Schizosaccharomyces pombe: one gene and its partners. The gene in region 1 interacts genetically with each later gene. Each region holds a gene or a part of one and is shown on either strand. Other genes may lie near its edges.

Region 1 (5,665 bases):
ATGTTAATGCCATCGGCATGGAAGACGATGATGGCGAGAAGCATTATATATGTAACTACGAAGACATTGAAGCCGGTGTTTGCAAGGACGATGATTATGGTCTTTACTTGATTAACCAAACCGCTCCCCACGATTCTATTTACTCAGCCGCCGTAGACGCTGAATCCATGGTTAGTCCCCTTAAATATCCGGTTGAGCAATCTGGTCTATATTGCGTCTTTACCGCACCCCTTGAAGGCTCCAGCGAGGCTTACAAAATCACCGTAACCTGGGAAAACTATTTTGGCAATTTGGATGCTACTGATTATCCTCATTTGTTTTTAAATCCCATTCTTTTGGCGATCAATTGTTTAATTGGAATTTGGTGGTCTTTTATTATGTTCCGCTATAGGCATGATCTCCTTCAAGTTCAAAAGTATATTTCAGGTGTTGTTGCTCTTTCTATTGTTTGCACTATGGTCTCTACAGGTTATTTCTATTTCGCGAATAGCAAAGGTTACACTACAGGTAGTAAAGTTTTTGCTTTCTTTTTGTCGTTAGCTCAATCCGCTCGTCAATCCTATTTCGGATTTTTGCTGTTAATTGTTTCACTGGGTTACTCTATTGTTGTTCCTAGTTTGGGAAGTCTTCTTCGTAAGTGTCAAATTCTTGCTGGTTTGCAGTTCGTTTCTTCATGCTTTTTCTTGTCATCTTTGTTCATTAGCCCATCTAATAAAGAGTCTTTGGTCATTTTGTTTGCCGCTCCTGTCTTTTTAATCACCCTCTTCGCTATGTTCCTTTGGATTGTATTGGCTTTAAATAATACAATTCGTGATCTCCGTATTCGTAAGCAAACTGTTAAGGCTCAGATGTATACTCGTCTTTGGATTGTTATATGTTTTGGCATTGTCGCTTATGCTTCGATTGTCGCAGCCAATGCCATTTTGATTGGTATCTACGGTCAAATGAACTATTACTTAAAATACTGGAAACTTCTTTGGTTCCTTAATTACGGATACACTGATATTCTTGTTTTGATCTTGATGCTTACCATTTTGTACTTGTGGCGTCCTACCGAGAATAACCGTCGTTTCGCAATGAGTGAGCAAGTTGCTCAAGATGTAGATGAGTTTGAGATGACTTCCTCTCTCTCAAATGATAGTTTGCATCTGCATCATGAGCGTCCTACATCTCCAGCCAACCCTCATATTATTCATGGCAGTGCCGATGAGCATCAAGCTCTATTCGCTGTTGACGATGAAAGTGATGATGATGCCTCAACACTTGCAACTTCTAAGCAAAAGCCTGCTTAGATGTAACCACCATACATCAAACCAATCCTTATTATTTTTGTAATTAATTTCTAAGATTATTTCGAAGTTGATGTTATATAAAGTCTAAGCAATTAGATATTTCACGTTTCCCCTCTGTGTTTTTCCTTAGTACAAATTCGCTCGCTTTATAAAATTCTCCCAATATAGAGCTTTCCTTAAATTTAAATATTGTTTTTCTTATGTTTCTTTTCCGTAAGCATTTCATTATTGTAAGTTTTGTATCACAATAGTCAAACAATTTTCGTGCCAAATCCTCGCCAGCGCTTCTGAAGAAAAGTCAAAGATTGATGGTCTTTGGTGTTCCCAATTACAGGAATGTATTCTTTGACATATATATCAAACCATGGTGTTTCAACATCTTCAGCAGCCAGAGTTGGCGATTCACCCTTCGATATGTGATGCTGAATGCGTTCTTCCAAGTTCCCCCAAATCAGAAATAATCTTTCTTTAAGCTGAAGAGTCATCTGCGGGTGATCAGCTAAATTGCAAGGTTGGATTTTTGAGCTGTTAATAAGTTCCGCAGCGTCAGAATCAAAAAATATGACCGGTAAAGTCACATTCGATACATCCCTTACGAGCAAGGCAAACATCCAAACATACGAAGATGGTGGTTGAGATAGCACAGCAAACTGCGTCAAACTCTTTGGCCAAAAATCTACCACCTGAACGCGTAGCCTATGTTTCCTCGGTTTGAGAAGATTCTGCAAAGGTGCATGAAGTATGGTAGAAATAGTAGTCAATTTTAAACTAGCAGGTTCATTTATGACATGGGCCGTAATTTCATTAACAGAAGTTTGCTTTAATTCATGGGCGATAAAAGGATTTTCCGATTGTTGGCTTTGACTGAGTTTCTCGATTACTGCTTCTATACCATTTTGGCAATTCTGAACATAAAGCCTTTTACGTGACTTAATTTCGTTTAGTTCGGGTTCTTCCGAATCGACTTTTTCTATACTCATATTATAACGTTTTGCTGAATCCCCATGAAGTATACATTCCAGATAACCAAGGTGATCAATTTTGGTTCGCACATTTTTCATAACCACATAGTCACCTTCTTTAATGTAGTTGCGGCAGTAAAAGTCGTGCTCATCCCATAAAATGCACCTTATAGAAAACCGACCAAAAGGGCCCCTCCATCTCGAGGAGCTAGTATACGGAGACATTGGAAAAAAAAGCTCATTTTCCGTATAATCAGTGACATAAAGAGTAAAGTTTTTATCACTGTACCAAGTTTTAATTACCTGAGCGTAAAAGCTACAACGTTGATGTGGAGTTATTTGTGATAGCAGAGAAAAAGAGACAGAAGGGTAACTCAATCCAGTTTGATTTTGACGAGCAGAAGAGGTACTCAATAATTCGCCATTTTTATGTTTATTAGTTTGCTCATCCCAAATTTTATTTAACAACAAGGCGAATTGCTCTTCCTTGTCTCCCGTTTTCATTAAACGAGGCATTGGTTGAGGACAGAGAGTATCTTTGGAATTAGAAGAAAAGTCTGGCCAAAGTGCATATCGAAATTGATCCTTAGACAAACCTTGAGTCCTGTCTCTATAACTTCTTAATGTGATTTGATGAAGCAAAAGCGGTTGCCCCACCTGCTTGATTACAGGCAAATCATTTCCCTGTTTGCTGAACAAGTGTATCTGTAGTCCGATGCTTGATGTATCACATGTTGGATCCCACAAATATACGGTGGTTACCCAATCTAAAAACATGATTATTAGCTCTTGACTGGAAAAATAAAAAGTATAGTTTCCACCATGATAAGCAAGCATACCCTTAGTTCCATGTAGACTTTGGCGACTAGGGGTAAAATCTTTTACTATTCCAAACAAATTGACAATAGTATTCTTCTTTTGTAATTCTTGAGAGCTTCTAATGGACTGAAATGTAAGTTCCTTTTTCATTGTTAGCAAAACAAATATAAATCCATTGATATCTCACTCCAATCTTATATTCTCCAGCATTTAATAACTCATTCAACTGAAGACTGTCAATAACGTCCTCTCCCATGCTTGATCAACGAATGATCCAAATATCCTTTAAGAACAACAAATGAGTTTTAGCCTTTCTCAGAAACCTAAATGGAATTGGTAAAAGCTTTTTAAACCAAGACAACCCCTTGAAAGTGATGAACCTTCAGATTATTCAATAGACTGCGTGAGAGTTACTTGTTCAAGCTTGATCATTCCCCTTCTTCAAATTCCTAGGATGAACTAAGGGTTATTCAGTTTTATTTTACCAATAATGAATTTGTTTCTTTATCAAGCAAAAGAATGACCCACTCCTCAATCTTGAGGTTATGAGTGTTCATGGCTAGCTATTAAATGGATCGCCGTAAAGTCCTTAAGCTGAGCGCAGTTGTAAAACTTTAGACATATCCCAGTTTCTGCTAGGCTATTATTGAAAGAGTTTGCCGAGTATCAAGATTTACTAGTATTATAATAAGCAGATCGCATACCGGTTCATGCCAATTGGTACTTAAAAATTTTAATGTATGCGGTTCATCTCGAAAACTCAAGACGCTTACTTTAGCTAATCTAACGTTCAGTTTAGAAAAAGAATGCAATGCAAAAAGCGATAGCTTATTAAAAGACTTTCCTAAGGTATTGCATTCACGATCCAGAACAGCAAACCTGCAACGATCTATTTTGGTTTTAAAAGCGCCAACCTGCTCTATGCGTTTAAACCCATGTAAGTTTAACTTACAAAATAAGCAATTACTTTCAATATAATAAAAAATTGATCCAATCGAATATAATATATACGATTTCATTGTCATAATACCTAAGTTTTGACAGTAGTTTGCTCATAATCTACAAAAAAGAATAAAACTAAAAGAAAGAAAAAAACATGCATGGTTGTTCGTCAAACCTAAATGCCAATTATGCAGCGATATAAATATCCCCCGATCATTTGAGCATAGCTTCGAAGACCAAAGATACTCAGCAAAAGTAGGGCAGGTAACCAGAAAGAGAATAGCATAAAGTCCATTCCTGCCTTTTTCAGTGTCTTTGCCTGCTCCTGTATTGCTCTGGTTTCTTCAGGAGTAAGAGCAGTAGATTTTCCACGACCAACAAGCCGAGATTGCCATCTCAAAGACCACCAAACACTTTTGTGATGATCGGGATCTTCAGATATAGCGCTATCTCTTTTACTAGAACCAGCTTGCGCTGTCGTATCATCAGCAAACTCAGAATAAGGAGGGGGTACATCATCGGGAATGGCCGATATACTTTTTAAGGTTGACAGCATGGCTTTTTGCATCATGGATGGAACTTCACTCATATAATTCTGAGGTAGTTCTTGAAGCGATGGAAACATTGTAACAGTTTTATTCCACATACTTTCACTATATGACTTGGTCTGAACAGCAGATTCCTCAATTTCGTTAACAATACTGGTTGATTCTAAGGTTTCATTTGTATTAATGGAGCCTTCAGAATCCTTAATAAGAGAGCGAGAAATACTTTGGGCTTGTTCATTATTTGCTTCCTTAAAGACCAGTTTTATAGGCTCAGAAGAGGAGAGGTCTATCGGTTTTTTACCGCTAGCTCCTATAACATCAGGCTTGGCACCGTTGGAAAGTAAATTAACACATATGTCTTTATGATCATACAATGAAGCATAATGCAGTGGTGTATAGCCAAGTGCGTCCCTTTTGTTAACATCGCATCCTGCGTTGCATAAGAACGTCGAAGCATTAGACAATCCACAGGCAGCAGTAAGGTGGAGAAGTGACCTACCAGATTCGTTAACAAGACTAAAATCAGAAAGGTATGGTGTCGTTGTATCTGTAACAAGAGCAAATGCTGCGAGGATAGTACTTTCAACACTGTCATCAGACTGATTACTGTCTTTTTTCACAATCCGCGAAATAACCGATTTAAGCGATTCCATATTGCTATCATGCAATAAGGTTTTTTTAGACTGACCTTTAGATTCACTGTTAGGAGGCTGCTTAATAGAATTTGTTATATATTGAGCAAAATCGTCGCGCCATGAACTCAACAATTTTTTGGATAACGTTAATGGGTTTTGAATAGATCCAGTAAGTTTTAAGCCTAAAACTTGAACAGTTAATTTGTAAAGTTCATTATCTAAATTATCTTCATAAGTAAACATTACTGGCGCTTCAGAAGATGAATTATAGTTCTGAAAGGTTACAGGAACGGTTCCAGCATTAGTTGCAGGAGGACAAGTCGCTATAATCGTTGACTCACTCCACGAAAAAGTTACAGCAGCTGGGTTGTCACCAAATAAACAGACTAATCCATTAAAAAAGTTCGCGCCAAGAATTGTAACTTCATAACCTCCCATGATTGAACCCTTATTAGGAATAATCCGAG
Region 2 (6,872 bases), on another chromosome or scaffold:
AAACACTTTCTATTTTCTGAAATTTTTACTTCAGAAAGATATTTTCGGGGGTATTCATGAATCAATAACTTTTGACAACATAAATACAATATAATTCGATCACTAAAAAATAACTTCTGTTTATTTACAGTTGCTAGTATTCCACTCTTTTTCGTTTGTTTATTTACACATTATTTTCCTTTAACTCAGAATTGCGTTAAATGATTCTTTTCGAATGTATAATTGCAGCAATGTTGATTTGTTTATTATTTTTGTTTACAACATTATACTTGGTTGTCTTTAGTAAATCTTGCCTCCTTATTGGTTACAAGTCAAACATCCATTGTAAATAGTGAGTAATTGGTGTTGTTTATTTAGGCTTAGTTCAAAGGCTTAGCTAAGGATATTATTACTATTCAGTTAATCTAAATCCTTTGTTATTTGAGCTATTTATCCAGGATGCAAATGGTTAGCGAAAGCTTTTATTTTTAAATGATCATCTTTTAGTAATATTAAATGTTTACTTAACACTTTTTTAAGCAAATGTTAGGTGAGCATCAAATTATCATTCGATGTTTGTTTATTGTGAGGGATTTCATAAATTATTAGTTATGATAAAACAATGTGTTAATATAAACGAAATGAATTGTTTTTTAATATAAATAACCCAAGGTTGAACATGTTTTACCCAACCTTTGTATACACTTCAAGAGATTGAACACGATCTCTAATTACTGAGTTATCCAACTGGCAATCACTCAAGCCTCAAAAGAGCCAAGTAACTTCGTAATGAACAGTAAAATTGCTTATCCAGAGATTAAAATATCAGGTGCCTTTCGTCCTGATAAAATACAGGAAAAGGGAAAAAGTAACCGATGTGATACTCACTGCTCTGGTAGCTCTTGGACAAGTTTTAAATCAAAGATCCTAAAAATTTGCGCTCCTCTCTGCTGTATGGGTTCTGATAACGATGAAAGCATGGCAGAAATGCCATTAGAACCCCAAGTTGAGCCAAAATCAATAGAGAACAATTATACTTTAAAAAAAAAAAATGAAGAAGGCTTCTTAAGTCAACAGGAAAATAAGTCTTCAAACCAAAATCCTTCAAAGGCTAATAACCTTTTCGACAAGCTCGGCGTAAGCAAGCCAATAACATTCATAGCTTGTATACTGCAATTGGGCGGCACCTCTTTTATGGAATCAGAACTCCAGACGAAACTTTCAACTATTAATAGCTCGCCGTTTAAAAGTTTATCCCAATACTGGAATGCTGCATACAATAAAAAGGAATCAATATCATCTTCAACGAATAGTAACATCAAATTACATTTGGCAGCTCGTAAATACCAAACAAAACCTGAAAAATTTAACGAAAATTCTTCCATTAGTCAGGTTACATCCGCAATAAAAGCAACAAAGGCATTTTCGCATTTAACTCAACCGAAGAGGGCACTATTGAAAGAAAGCAATACGGGAGATAAAGATATATTTAAGCCTCGGTATCCACAGCTTCTAAGCTGTAGATTTACAACCTTGAGCAAATTGGCGCCAATTAATAATTCCAAATCAGCACCTAAAGGTACCCACAAACCGAACCACTCAGAAAATGCTGAATTAAAAGATATAAAACAGAGCTCTGAGCTTTCTGACTTATCACTATCTTCACAGATTTTATATCCCGAATCCACGACTTTAAGTGAAATATCGCCGATATATGATTCTGAATTAGCAATTGAAAATATACTCGAATCTAAGTGCTTTGAAAATGAACAAGCCATAATAGAAGGAGTAAAAGATTTTACCGAATTTCCCGACCTAGAAGAAACACAGATTATATATTCCGACCTCATCGCTTCCAGTGAAGTATCGCCAATATATGATTCTGAATTGAAATATGAAAGTGTACTCGAATCCAAAAGCTCTAGAAACGAACAGGCTACAATAAAAGAAAAAAAAGATAATGAAAGGGTCCTCGACTTGTCACAGCAATGCACAAAGTTTCTTTTCAGTGACCAAAAGGTTATTACCCCAAGCTTTTGCAAATTTGCCCAAGTATCAGACATGTGCTCTACTGAAATTCCTTGGGTAAACTTCTTTTGTGATAACCTAGATATATGTATCGAAGATGTTCAATTCAAGAGTAAAGCCTTTTTTCCACCTACAGTAACTATTACCATCTTTGAGCACGAAGATAAAAACTTGATGAATGTCTTCGATACTAAAAATGGAACATCAAAAACATTAGTGAAACCTCAAATAACTAATAGCTGCCTTGAAAATATGCTATCACTTGTAAACAAGAACAGCTGTATTAAAAGGCTTCACTTAAAGTTGTCTAAAGGGATAATGGACATCAAGGTATTAACTCATCAGCTAATGCTATATGATCTTTATCCTCCTGCTCACCAAACATATCTATGGAAAGCATTAGAACGACTAGTGAATGAAAAGGTGAGTTTAGGAGAACTAACACCTGTTCACAAAGTAGCAGCCGAAAAGAGAATAGGAGACATCCGGATGCATTTAATTGAATCTTCGGATATATACGTTGTTACTGAAAATCATCGCTGGCTACATATCGTGTGTGAGGGCTTTAACTGTTTCTTAGAGCTTCCCGAAGTACTTCACGGAAAGAAGTTTTTAAAAGTAGATGAGGCTACAAGAGAAGACATGTTAATGTCTGCAGAGACTCCAGACGATATTTTATGGATAACTACATTGATAAGTACTGGTTCATCGATGTCACATTTTCCTTTGCATGCTTACCTGGAAGCCAAAGAGAGACAAGAATTCACAAAAAAGAACCTTTTACTATTTTGTAAAGAAGATGAGTTTTTATACTCCGACCAAGAAAATGAAGACCTTTTAGAATCGTTTGAAAGAGTTATTTCAGAAGAGTTATCCCTTTTAAAATCAAATGAGCCGTCAGATATCTCACTAAAAAAGAGAAAAAGAAGAAAGAATTGTGAGAAAAGAATATTGGGTACAATGATGTATTAAACGGCATGGCCAGTCGGAAGAACTATCCTTATGCTAATAATATATCTTCAGCATTCGCAACCATTGATATTTGCTTGACAAAGCGTTAATAATCCTATTCCCTAGGATATCATTTGTACTACCACAAAATTGAAAATAAATTCACAACGAAGTCAAACAACAGGTTTCTTTTACAAACGAACTGGCACGACCTTTCAAAAGATGTGCAATTAATTTTGTGAAACATCTGTAAGAACAATCGGCTTCCCTATTGAACTGACAACGTTCTTTCACATGGATTAGTATATGAAATCCCTATGATAAAGACATACTTTAAAAAATTTTCTCCATTCAAGAGGATCCCCATTACGCTTTATAAAGTTTATAAGCTCTAAGTTATGGCCTAAATTAGTTAGTTCAATAACACCTTGCAAGAGACATTTCCGTTTATCATGTAAATTAACATAAAGGATGGTCTGATTTCGAACATATTTCATAGTCACTGAGATTGCAAGTAGTCGTAGACTGTCATAAAGATGATCTATAATGGTTTCTCTCGACGCCCTAGAATAAAACCTAGTGAGTCTTTCAGGAGGACAAATTTCGTAGAAATTCTTAGCCTTTTTGGCCTTTTTCATATAGTTAGAAAAAATTTAGGTTTAAATAAATAATACCAATCTTTTAATAAAACCTTCATTCTCACAAAACTGACTCAATGAGGGGTCTTTTTCAAGGATTTCAGTAACGTCAATATTTTTATTAAGTTGTACTGGCTGGGATAAGGCGCCATAAACTTCTACACGATCCAACTCCTTTTGGTCATTTTTTTTAAAAGCTGGCTGTGTCATTGAAAAACCGCTATCGCTAATTGAAAGAGTTAGAAATATGAAACAACTGTGCAAGATCTTACTTTTGAGATGCTCTAGATGAGGCAAGACGTGGTTTATCTAAATCAATACGAAGTTTCAACATGAGCCTTGATGCCAATGCTACAGGATCGGCACAATTCCCATTTTTAGTTCGAAATGGTGTACTTGAGGTAAGCCATGGGTGCTGTACAACATGTTTGACAGAGTAGCGCTTAAATGGATCACTTCGAAGCATTCCGGTGATAATCGCTGATCATTAGTTTAAAGGAATTTCAGTCAGGACTTACAATAGGCTCCTGGAGACAACAAGTTCCATGGGTGGTAAGACGGGCGTTCACATTGTTTTTTATAAAGCAAGTAGTCACCAGTGTTGCTAATTGCTTCATCCCAAGGTGTGTTGCCTAATAACAAAGCAAAAAGAATTATACCGCAGGACCAGACATCAACTTTTGAACCATCATACTGCTGTGTAATTTCTGGAGCAGCGTATGGTGGACTACCCACTGGACTATTCAAAAGCCTACTTTTACCTTTATAGGAAAATAAAGATGCAAAGCCGAAGTCTGAAATCTTTAAGTTACCATTGTAATCTAAAAGGATGTTCTCAGGTTTCAAGTCTCGATGCGCGACACCTTTAGAGTGCATGAAGGAAATACCTTCCATAAGTTGAGCAAAATAAAACTGAGCGACGTCCTCATCAATACCTACATCAGGCTCTAAATTGTAAGTCCGTTAGTAAAAACGAAAGGTTCATGCACCCACCTATTTTGTCAAATAAGTCACCACCTTGAGCAAATTCAAGTACTACCCATCTCCATTGGGGATTTTCTGCTGTATTATAAAAATGAATGATATTTTTATGTCCATTGCATAGTTTGTGAAGTTGTATTTCACTAGCCATCCTTCTAGCCCATACCCCTGCATTCATACAACTAGTAGCATGTTTTTTATTGACAAATTTGACAGCATATATTTTAGCATTATCATCGTAACATAAACGGACGCTTGCTTAAGTTAGTATATAGTATTTTTCAAATCAAAATTCATACGAAGCAAAAGCCCCAGTACCTATTTCTCTACCAATATGGTAAGGAAAGTTATCTAATTTTTGAGCCATTCTTTGGTGTAAAGGGAAAGAAGATTATAATATAACACAAGCATATGTTGCAAATTTTGGCATGTGTATTATTTACAGTCTTAACATCATCAAAGACTGGAAAAGATTAAATTAAGGTAATTTTTAAATGAGTTTTAAATCTATATAATGATATAAAATTGGACTATAATTTGATATCCGGTTTTCGTTTACTTGTGTACATTAGCACATGTTGTGTTGTGTTTATAACTTACTCTCCTACCACCACGTACTCATTGAGAAACTACAGTAACAACTTGAGGAATGGATTCTGATATGCAAAACCAGAACCCTCATACTAATTCTAAAAACTCTTCTTCTGCTGGCATGGCTGTTGACGGTCATAGCGTTACAAAACGGTAAAAAATAAACAGTTTTTAGGAAAAAAGTCTCTAATGCATTTGTAGATTGAGAAGCGAATTAATGAGTTTAATGGTTTGTAATAAGCTTTTTTACTTTGTTATTAACTAGGGTTTTATGACTAGATGTCCAATACTCCTGGAATTAGTGCGTTTCCAGATTCTGATTCTAACCTGCTACATTGGGCTGGCACAATTACCGGCCCAAGCGATACGGTATGACTTTTATTTTGAAAGCTTAATATTTAAAGTATATGAATAATGCTTGGTGTGCTTACTTGTAGCTGCACTTTAATGGAAAATTAATACACATCTTTGTCATTACATTTTCATAACTGTCTACTCTTCTTTCTTCTTTTTCATACGACTAACGTAACGAAAATAGTACTATGAAGGATTGAAATTTAAAATTTCAATGTCATTTCCAGCTAATTACCCATATTCCCCTCCAACTATCATTTTTACTTCACCAATGTGGCACCCCAATGTCGATATGAGTGGAAACATATGTTTAGACATTTTAAAAGATAAATGGTCAGCAGTCTATAACGTACAGACAATTTTGTTATCTCTACAAAGTCTGCTGGGTGAGCCAAACAATGCTTCTCCCTTGAATGCTCAGTATGTTGAAAATATCTCATTTACCTTTTTTGATTATTAACAATTCTTAGAGCTGCAGAATTGTGGAGTAAAGACCCTATCGAGTACAAACGTCTTTTAATGCAGAGATATAAAGAAATCGATGAAATTTAGTTAGGCCGGTCTATTTCATACTCATTTTCATTTCTGTTTAGTCATATGGATTTTCTTTTCCTATTCAATGCTTGAAAAAATGTCTTTAGTTAAACTTTCTTCATTGATAATGGAAGTTGAAATTATTTCATCTCATCGATTAAGCAATTCCTTCATGCAATGCCACAACCTCCTGAAAACCACCGAATGGTTTTTTAAGGACCGTCTATCATTATTTAGTTCCAGAAGTTGAAGTTGTTATTATGATGCTCGATTAAAGCTATTCTTGTTTAATGCATTCCGTTAATGCAGTCGTTTTTTTAGCTTTCCGTTAGATTATAATACTATTTTATTATTATTGATTCTCAATGTCATTGTGTTATGTATTATCGCAAGACAAGTATCAATGTTATGTTGTGCCTGAATTTTTTTCTGATTAGTAATAGGACTGTATATACAGCCTAATATTTGTATTTCTAATTTTGAGCCTTTAATCCTTATGAAGCCGTATAGTGAAGTATCTTTTCAGTCTCAGAGCATTTTATAGAGTTGCTGAAATTTACACGTCATTTAAAAATTTAAGAGTTTTACCAATTATTATTACAAAAGATTTGTATTTAATTACAAAAGAAAAACTGATTAGAAAATTGAACATTTAAACTGATAGCTGAATAAGCTACTAAAACTGGCTGTTTATATGCTACCAAGAGCATACCTGCGAATGACTAGTACACCAAAGAATCTTGAAAAACAGCCGATTAACTTCGACAATCTCCCCTTGTATTTACAAGGAACCAATTACGGAGAAAATGTGCTTAG
Region 3 (5,709 bases), 920 kb from region 1:
GCAACTTCGTGTAATGCGGGTCGGTGGCAATGAAAACGCCCGTAATTACTTTAAGCGTCATGGTGGGGTTTCACTTCTGAATTCCAAGGATTGTCGTTTGAAATATTCTTCCAAAACTGCAAAACAATATCTTGAAAAACTAAAGTCTCTTGCGGTAGAAGACGAGGCTAATTATCCCGATATATTGGATATGGATTTCCTTTCCAACACTCATGAAGGCAGTTCTGCTGCTGACACTACTAATGAAGATGATGACTTTTTTTCTGCTTGGGATAAAGCATCTGTGAAGAAATCGGACGATAATCTTGATGACAAAACTGACTTAGCTTCTACTAGTTCATCGGTAGTTGTTGAAAGCGGCGAGAAAGATGAGCCTGTCGTCGTCACTGAAGAGAAGACTATGGTTTCTCCCCCTTCTCGTCCAGATTCTACTTCCACTACCAAATCAAAAACTTCTTCTATTTCTTCTGCTCGTGCCCGGCCTATCCGTGCTTCCTCACGCCCTACTGCTAGTAAATTGGGTGCTAGTAGACCTCAGAAGCTCGGTATCAAAAAGGCGAATGCCGATATTGACTTCGATGAGTTCGAAAAAGCTGTATTGTCTTCCGAATCTGCGCCAACCAAAAAACCTGCTGCTGTTGCGTCTAAGGAAAGCACCGTTGATACATTGGTAGATAATGGAGTCGAGGAAGTCAAGGAGTCCACTTCGACCACTGTGCAAGGAAAGCCGGTAAAACCTGTTTTGAAATCTGCTGCATCCGCAAAGTCAACTAAGTCTGACGACTCAAACCTCAATGCAAACTTTGCACGTTTGGGATTCGGCCAGTTTGCTGCTGCATCCAATGCGCGTGCTAAGGCCGCTGCAAAGGCACGAGAACTGAAGAAAAATGAGGTTAATGCACCGACATACGCACGAGATCACTTTGCTTCTCAGAAGTCTATTTCATCTGATCAATATTTTGGTCGTGGATCGTTTGATCCCGAGGCAGCTGCCGAAGCTCAAGAACGTTTATCTTCTTTCCGAGATGCCACAGCTATTTCTTCCAAGTCCTATTTTGGTGAGGAAGAAGATGAAAACGAGGAGGGTGAATCGTCTCATCGTCCAGATAGCGCATACCTTCGTGATATAGCTGAAACTGCTACTGAAGACATTGAAGCTATTAAAGTAGCTATTCACCAAGGCGCAGAAAAACTTTCAGATTTTATTCAAAAAGTTGGTGCTCGATACAATTTTTAATTCATCCGTCCAACTTTAGCTCAAGTAGCAAGAACCTGTCTATCTGTGCCAGTATCTGTTCCCCATCTTCTCAAATTTACTTCGACGACCAAAACTAATTAGTTCAAATTGAGTTATGCCTATTCTAACCAGTTCAATATTCCGCTACTAGTATCTTACCCTTATTGATCTGACCTTGTAACAAATGCGGTTTCTTCTCGTCAATTTCTCGTGGAACCATTTTTTTTAATATTGATAGAAATTATCTAAAACTATCACATCAACTTGTATAAAGGAAAGGTTTTGAATGCATTAAACAGCCATTGCGAACAGCTACTAGATTCTCTGAATTAAAAACTACATTTTTCACTGGCATGTAGCTTATCTGGATGCTGAATACCCACTTTCTTTTTCAGCTTTGCTTCAAGGTTTCGCTGTAAGCGGAAAGTGATTTATAGGTCTCTAGGAACTGTCCTTTTCTTGAATTTTAGATAGATTAATTGATGTAGCATTCTTTTTCGTTGCAGTGATAGTAAAGCTTTGTATTGTCAATTAACAGTCCTGTTTTAGTATTATTAAAACTACATAATTAATATTGAGCTCTACTGAGAATTTATTTAGTAATATTTGGAATTGTAACAAAAATTCAATTTTTGCAACTGGCATGTTTACATTTTGAGATGATGACCTACCCTCCCCTTTTAGTGGATACTTGGCCTACGCTACTTTCCCCATTCATACTACGGTGAAGGCTAAGTGAACGAAAAATCGCATTTTTTAAGCCTTACATGGCATATATTATTTAATTTTAATTAGCATCAACATCGACTTAATATATGACGATGTTTATGCAGCTTCAAGGTTAAACATGCCATCTTCGAATTCGGGAAATGTATGACTTTTGATCGTTGTGTTAGCTGCGTAATTAACGCTATTTCTAGGAGTTACTTTTAAGATTCTTTGAGTCTGCCCATTTCACGAGTCAACTTTGTGTTGCATATCTTTCACGCTATCCTAACAATATTGGCATTCATCACTTTCTTTGCGAAAAACTAGCAACGTATGTCTACCGTATCATTTCTTTGTTTTTTATGTCTAACACATATTAGATTTCCTTATGAAGAGATAGAATTTTTTATTCCTCAATTAATGTACGTTTATTTCGATAAATAAAGAAAAATTTTTGGGGGGAAGGAAAGTACCAAAAAGTCGAGCTCATAAGTCAGTGAAAGCCGAGTATATGACTCATATGCCTATTTCATAATTTAATGACTCTCTTACCTTTTGATTTTCTTTCCTTCAAACGTTTATTCCGTTGTGTTCGTGCATCTCTAATATCATACTGTAGTCATCTCGTCCTTAACAAAGATTCTGAAAGCGTTGCTTTAGAAGAATTTATCATTTCTCAATGTGAACAAAATACACAATGCGCACTCATTACATTTTGGTATTTGCAAGCCCATATGGTGGATCTAGGTTTACAGCCGCATTCTTCTTGTTTTAAAATATGTAAACGACTTTACAATCGTATTCAGATTTTGGTTTTCATGTCATCATCATCGTTAATACAGTCCCAACAAAAAATCTCCGAAAATGTAACCCCTGCCCTAATCCTTTCAGGCATCATGCTAGGTGGTGTTTGTGTGCCTGAACTACTAAAAAAAGCTGGCCCCATTGCAATTGCTCAAGGCCGTAAAGCCCCTAGGCAAGATCCAGATGAATCAGATGTTGATGTTTTACGCCGTCTTTCCACCGAACCTCGATATTCTCTGGACGTATTACGTTCGTCTTTGAACAACTCTATTGTCGAGCAACATTCCGAAGTATCCCTTAGACTAAAAGCTCCAGAACTAACCCGCACCCATTCATATCAATCATCAGCTACATTATCTATTGACGAACAGCGTCGTGTTCTACGCTCTAATTATTTTCAACAAGAAATTCAATTTCTTTTTGCTTTACAAGATATATCTATCCGTCTCATCATTGTACCTAGACAAGCTCGCCTTTCTTCATTACGCGCCGAACTTGCTCTTTTAAATAACAACCTTCCAGCCGATGTGAACATACCGCTTTTACGATCATATCATAAAGAAGTGAGTCATAAAATCGTTCGCATTGATCCTAAAGAGGCTACCATACTCAATTCTGCCGAACGAGTACCTTATCTTATTATGGTTGAGGTCCTATCTGGTGAACTCAGCTTCGAGCCACAATCGAAGAAAAATAAGGCTAAGGTGCAAAAGATTGTCTCTCATAAAAACCAAAGAAAAAGGTGGTTTGACCTCACAGATGTCGATCCTTATACGAACCTTCAAGACAGTACCGACAATGATATTTCAGAGTCGGAAAGTGAGGGAGGGGATTTAAGTATGTCTCCTCTGATAAAAGGGTTGGTACCGGACACTCTTTCTTTGAGTAAGTCATTCTCTTCGTTTGGTAATGTATCTTTGCAGGTACCGTCCTCTCATAGAGATACCGATGTCGTCCTGTTATCTGGGCGCCACTCTGATTCTGATGGAAATGGCGCCTTAAAAAGAAGTAAAATCTATGCTTCAGAAATAACAGCGAGAATGCGAGCTGCGGCAACTATGCTAAGTCAGCTTGATGCTGAAGGTAGCAGACGTCCCAAAGCTGAGACTGAACGAATAAAAAATAGCATTATTCTTGACATGCAAAGACTCGAAGAAGAGCGCCTTAATGAACCATCCATTTATCCTGTTTCAGTCGACATATCATGCGCAGAAGATCTGCGATTTGGCAAAGAAACTCAAAAGGCAGAACGGAAAGGTGATAGAGATGATCCCAGTGCCGCTACATTCCAAGAAGATTGGTATGCCAAGAAGGAAAGGATAAGAAAGTCTTCTCCTTATGGTCATTATCCCAATTGGGATTTGGTCAGTGTGATTGTTAAAACGGGTGCGGATCTCCGGCAAGAGACATTTGCCTGTCAACTTATATACGCGTTTCAGCGTGTTTGGCTAGAGTGTAAAGAAAAGGTTTGGGTTCGAAGGATGAAAATTTTAGTGACCGGCGACAATAGTGGCTTAATAGAAACGATTACAAATGCCATTAGTGTTCACTCTATTAAAAAGAATTTGACGAAACAGCTTCGGGAAGCTGAACTAGCCCAAGGAAAAATTGCTGGTAAAAATGTTGTTACATTGAAGGATTATTTTATAAAGCAGTTTGGTGATCCCAACAGCAGCCGGTATCGACAGGCACAGACAAATTTCCTTCAATCATTAGTGGCATATAGCATTATATCATACTTACTACAGTTAAAGGATAGACATAATGGTAACGTTCTTATTGATAGTGAAGGTCATATTATACATATTGATTTTGGCTTTTTACTTACGAATACACCGGGGAATGTTGGCTTTGAAAGCGCTCCATTTAAGCTTACGGCGGATTATTTAGAAATCCTTGACGACCGGTTTGATGAATATCGTTCCTTGATGAAAGCTGCGTTTAAATCTGTTCGAAAAAACGCTGATCAGATCATTTTGCTTGTTGAAGTTATGCAAAATAATTCCACAATGCCTTGCTTTCGTGCTGGTGAAAACACAAGTGCACAACTTTTGCAACGTTTTCAACTACAGCTTGGTGACAAAGAATGTGATGACTTTGTGGATTTGTTGATTCAAAAGGCAAATTGTAGTGTTTGGACGAGACTTTATGATCTGTTTCAAAATATTACGAACGGAATTTACTAGTAAGTGGCTATTCGTTTTCTCTTTTCATTTTTTTCGAATACAGCTACGGAGCTTCCACACTTGAACCATACTGCTGGTTGGCTTTTTTAACTTTCAATATTGTATTAAAATCACCACATTCACCATGGTTCGTAAATTTGGTAATTTTTTTGTTAGCTAGATTAGCTATATTAATGCATTAAAAATATTTTATGTGATCTATATGATTTATCATACCCACTAGAAACCCTTGCAATTATAATATACTATTAAAGCATACTGTCTAAATTAACTGCATTTCTAAGTTAGCAAACAATTTGGCGTAGTTAAATCCGGGTTAAAGAATCCTTTCGCACTTCCGTATATTGACATACCAAATTTTAAAGTAAGATTAGGTACTGCAACCCACTTCAATTTACCCTTTACCATCAAATTGAAAAATTAGGCGCAAACAGTAATTGTATATTAGAACTTGGAATTTTTTTCTTTTCATTTATAATTTTGTGTTATAATCCTTTGTTCCTTCTTCTACTAGGGGTTGTTTCTTTGCACAATATTGTAGTTGACATTGGTTAATGGGGTATCTTCATATTGATTACAGTATTCGTGATATAACAAAGAAATTTGGTAGGAAAATTTTAGTGTTGATTAATAGTTTTTCTTATCAGGATTATATCCAACTGAGGTGAATTATTACTTGAGACTTTACATCATTAAATTTTATGCAGGTATTAAGTCGTGATTATATCAGTCAAACAAGTACCTTTTGAATTCATTTTCATACCTCTTCTTGCT

Evidence for each region. A genetic interaction does not mean that the proteins touch.
Region 2: of pot1 (region 1) and chk1, a mutation in one rescues a mutant of the other (synthetic rescue), as found in Schizosaccharomyces pombe (3 studies listed by BioGRID, with this or other methods).
Region 3: mutations in pot1 (region 1) and pik1 are lethal when combined (synthetic lethality), as found in Schizosaccharomyces pombe (one study listed by BioGRID).

Annotation. Positions count from the first base shown.
Region 1 is NC_003424.3:4,127,193-4,132,857, reverse strand, and holds pot1 (shelterin complex subunit Pot1), read right to left. Parts: upstream 3,635-5,665; 5' UTR 3,330-3,634; coding exon 3,261-3,329; exon of another isoform or gene 3,215-3,260; coding exon 3,094-3,214; exon of another isoform or gene 3,064-3,093; intron 3,022-3,063; coding exon 1,544-3,021; 3' UTR 1,293-1,543; downstream 1-1,292. Other genes in the region: SPOM_SPAC26H5.07C (seven transmembrane receptor protein), read left to right, coding at 1-1,292; mga2 (IPT/TIG ankyrin repeat-containing transcription regulator), read right to left, coding at 4,191-5,665. UniProt on the Schizosaccharomyces pombe protein: Single-stranded telomeric DNA-binding protein that is required to protect the 3'-end telomeric overhang. It binds the consensus sequence 5'-GGTTAC-3'. Regulates telomerase and telomere length.
Region 2 is NC_003421.2:1,058,092-1,064,963, reverse strand, and holds chk1 (protein kinase Chk1), read right to left. Parts: upstream 5,169-6,872; 5' UTR 4,945-5,168; coding exon 4,877-4,944; intron 4,832-4,876; coding exon 4,590-4,831; exon of another isoform or gene 4,544-4,589; coding exon 4,115-4,543; exon of another isoform or gene 4,077-4,114; coding exon 3,869-4,076; exon of another isoform or gene 3,823-3,868; coding exon 3,633-3,822; intron 3,588-3,632; coding exon 3,291-3,587; exon of another isoform or gene 3,246-3,290; coding exon 3,189-3,245; 3' UTR 2,980-3,188; coding exon of another isoform or gene 769-2,979; 3' UTR 521-768; downstream 1-520. Other genes in the region: protein Meu27, read left to right, coding at 769-2,979; ubiquitin-conjugating enzyme E2-C Ubc11, read left to right, coding at 5,227-5,321, 5,370-5,397, 5,448-5,537, 5,707-5,942, 5,993-6,074; gid1 (putative Ran GTPase binding protein), read left to right, coding at 6,775-6,872.
Region 3 is NC_003424.3:5,048,635-5,054,343, reverse strand, and holds pik1 (Golgi-specific 1-phosphatidylinositol 4-kinase, type III-beta Pik1), read left to right. Parts: upstream 1-1,935; 5' UTR 1,936-2,084; coding exon 2,085-2,108; exon of another isoform or gene 2,109-2,157; coding exon 2,158-2,276; exon of another isoform or gene 2,277-2,320; intron 2,321-2,325; coding exon 2,326-2,367; intron 2,368-2,518; exon of another isoform or gene 2,519-2,564; coding exon 2,565-4,935; 3' UTR 4,936-5,189; downstream 5,190-5,709. Other genes in the region: glo3 (ARF GTPase-activating protein), read left to right, coding at 1-1,237. UniProt on the Schizosaccharomyces pombe protein: Acts on phosphatidylinositol (PI) in the first committed step in the production of the second messenger inositol 1,4,5,-trisphosphate. PIK1 is part of a nuclear phosphoinositide cycle and could control cytokinesis through the actin cytoskeleton.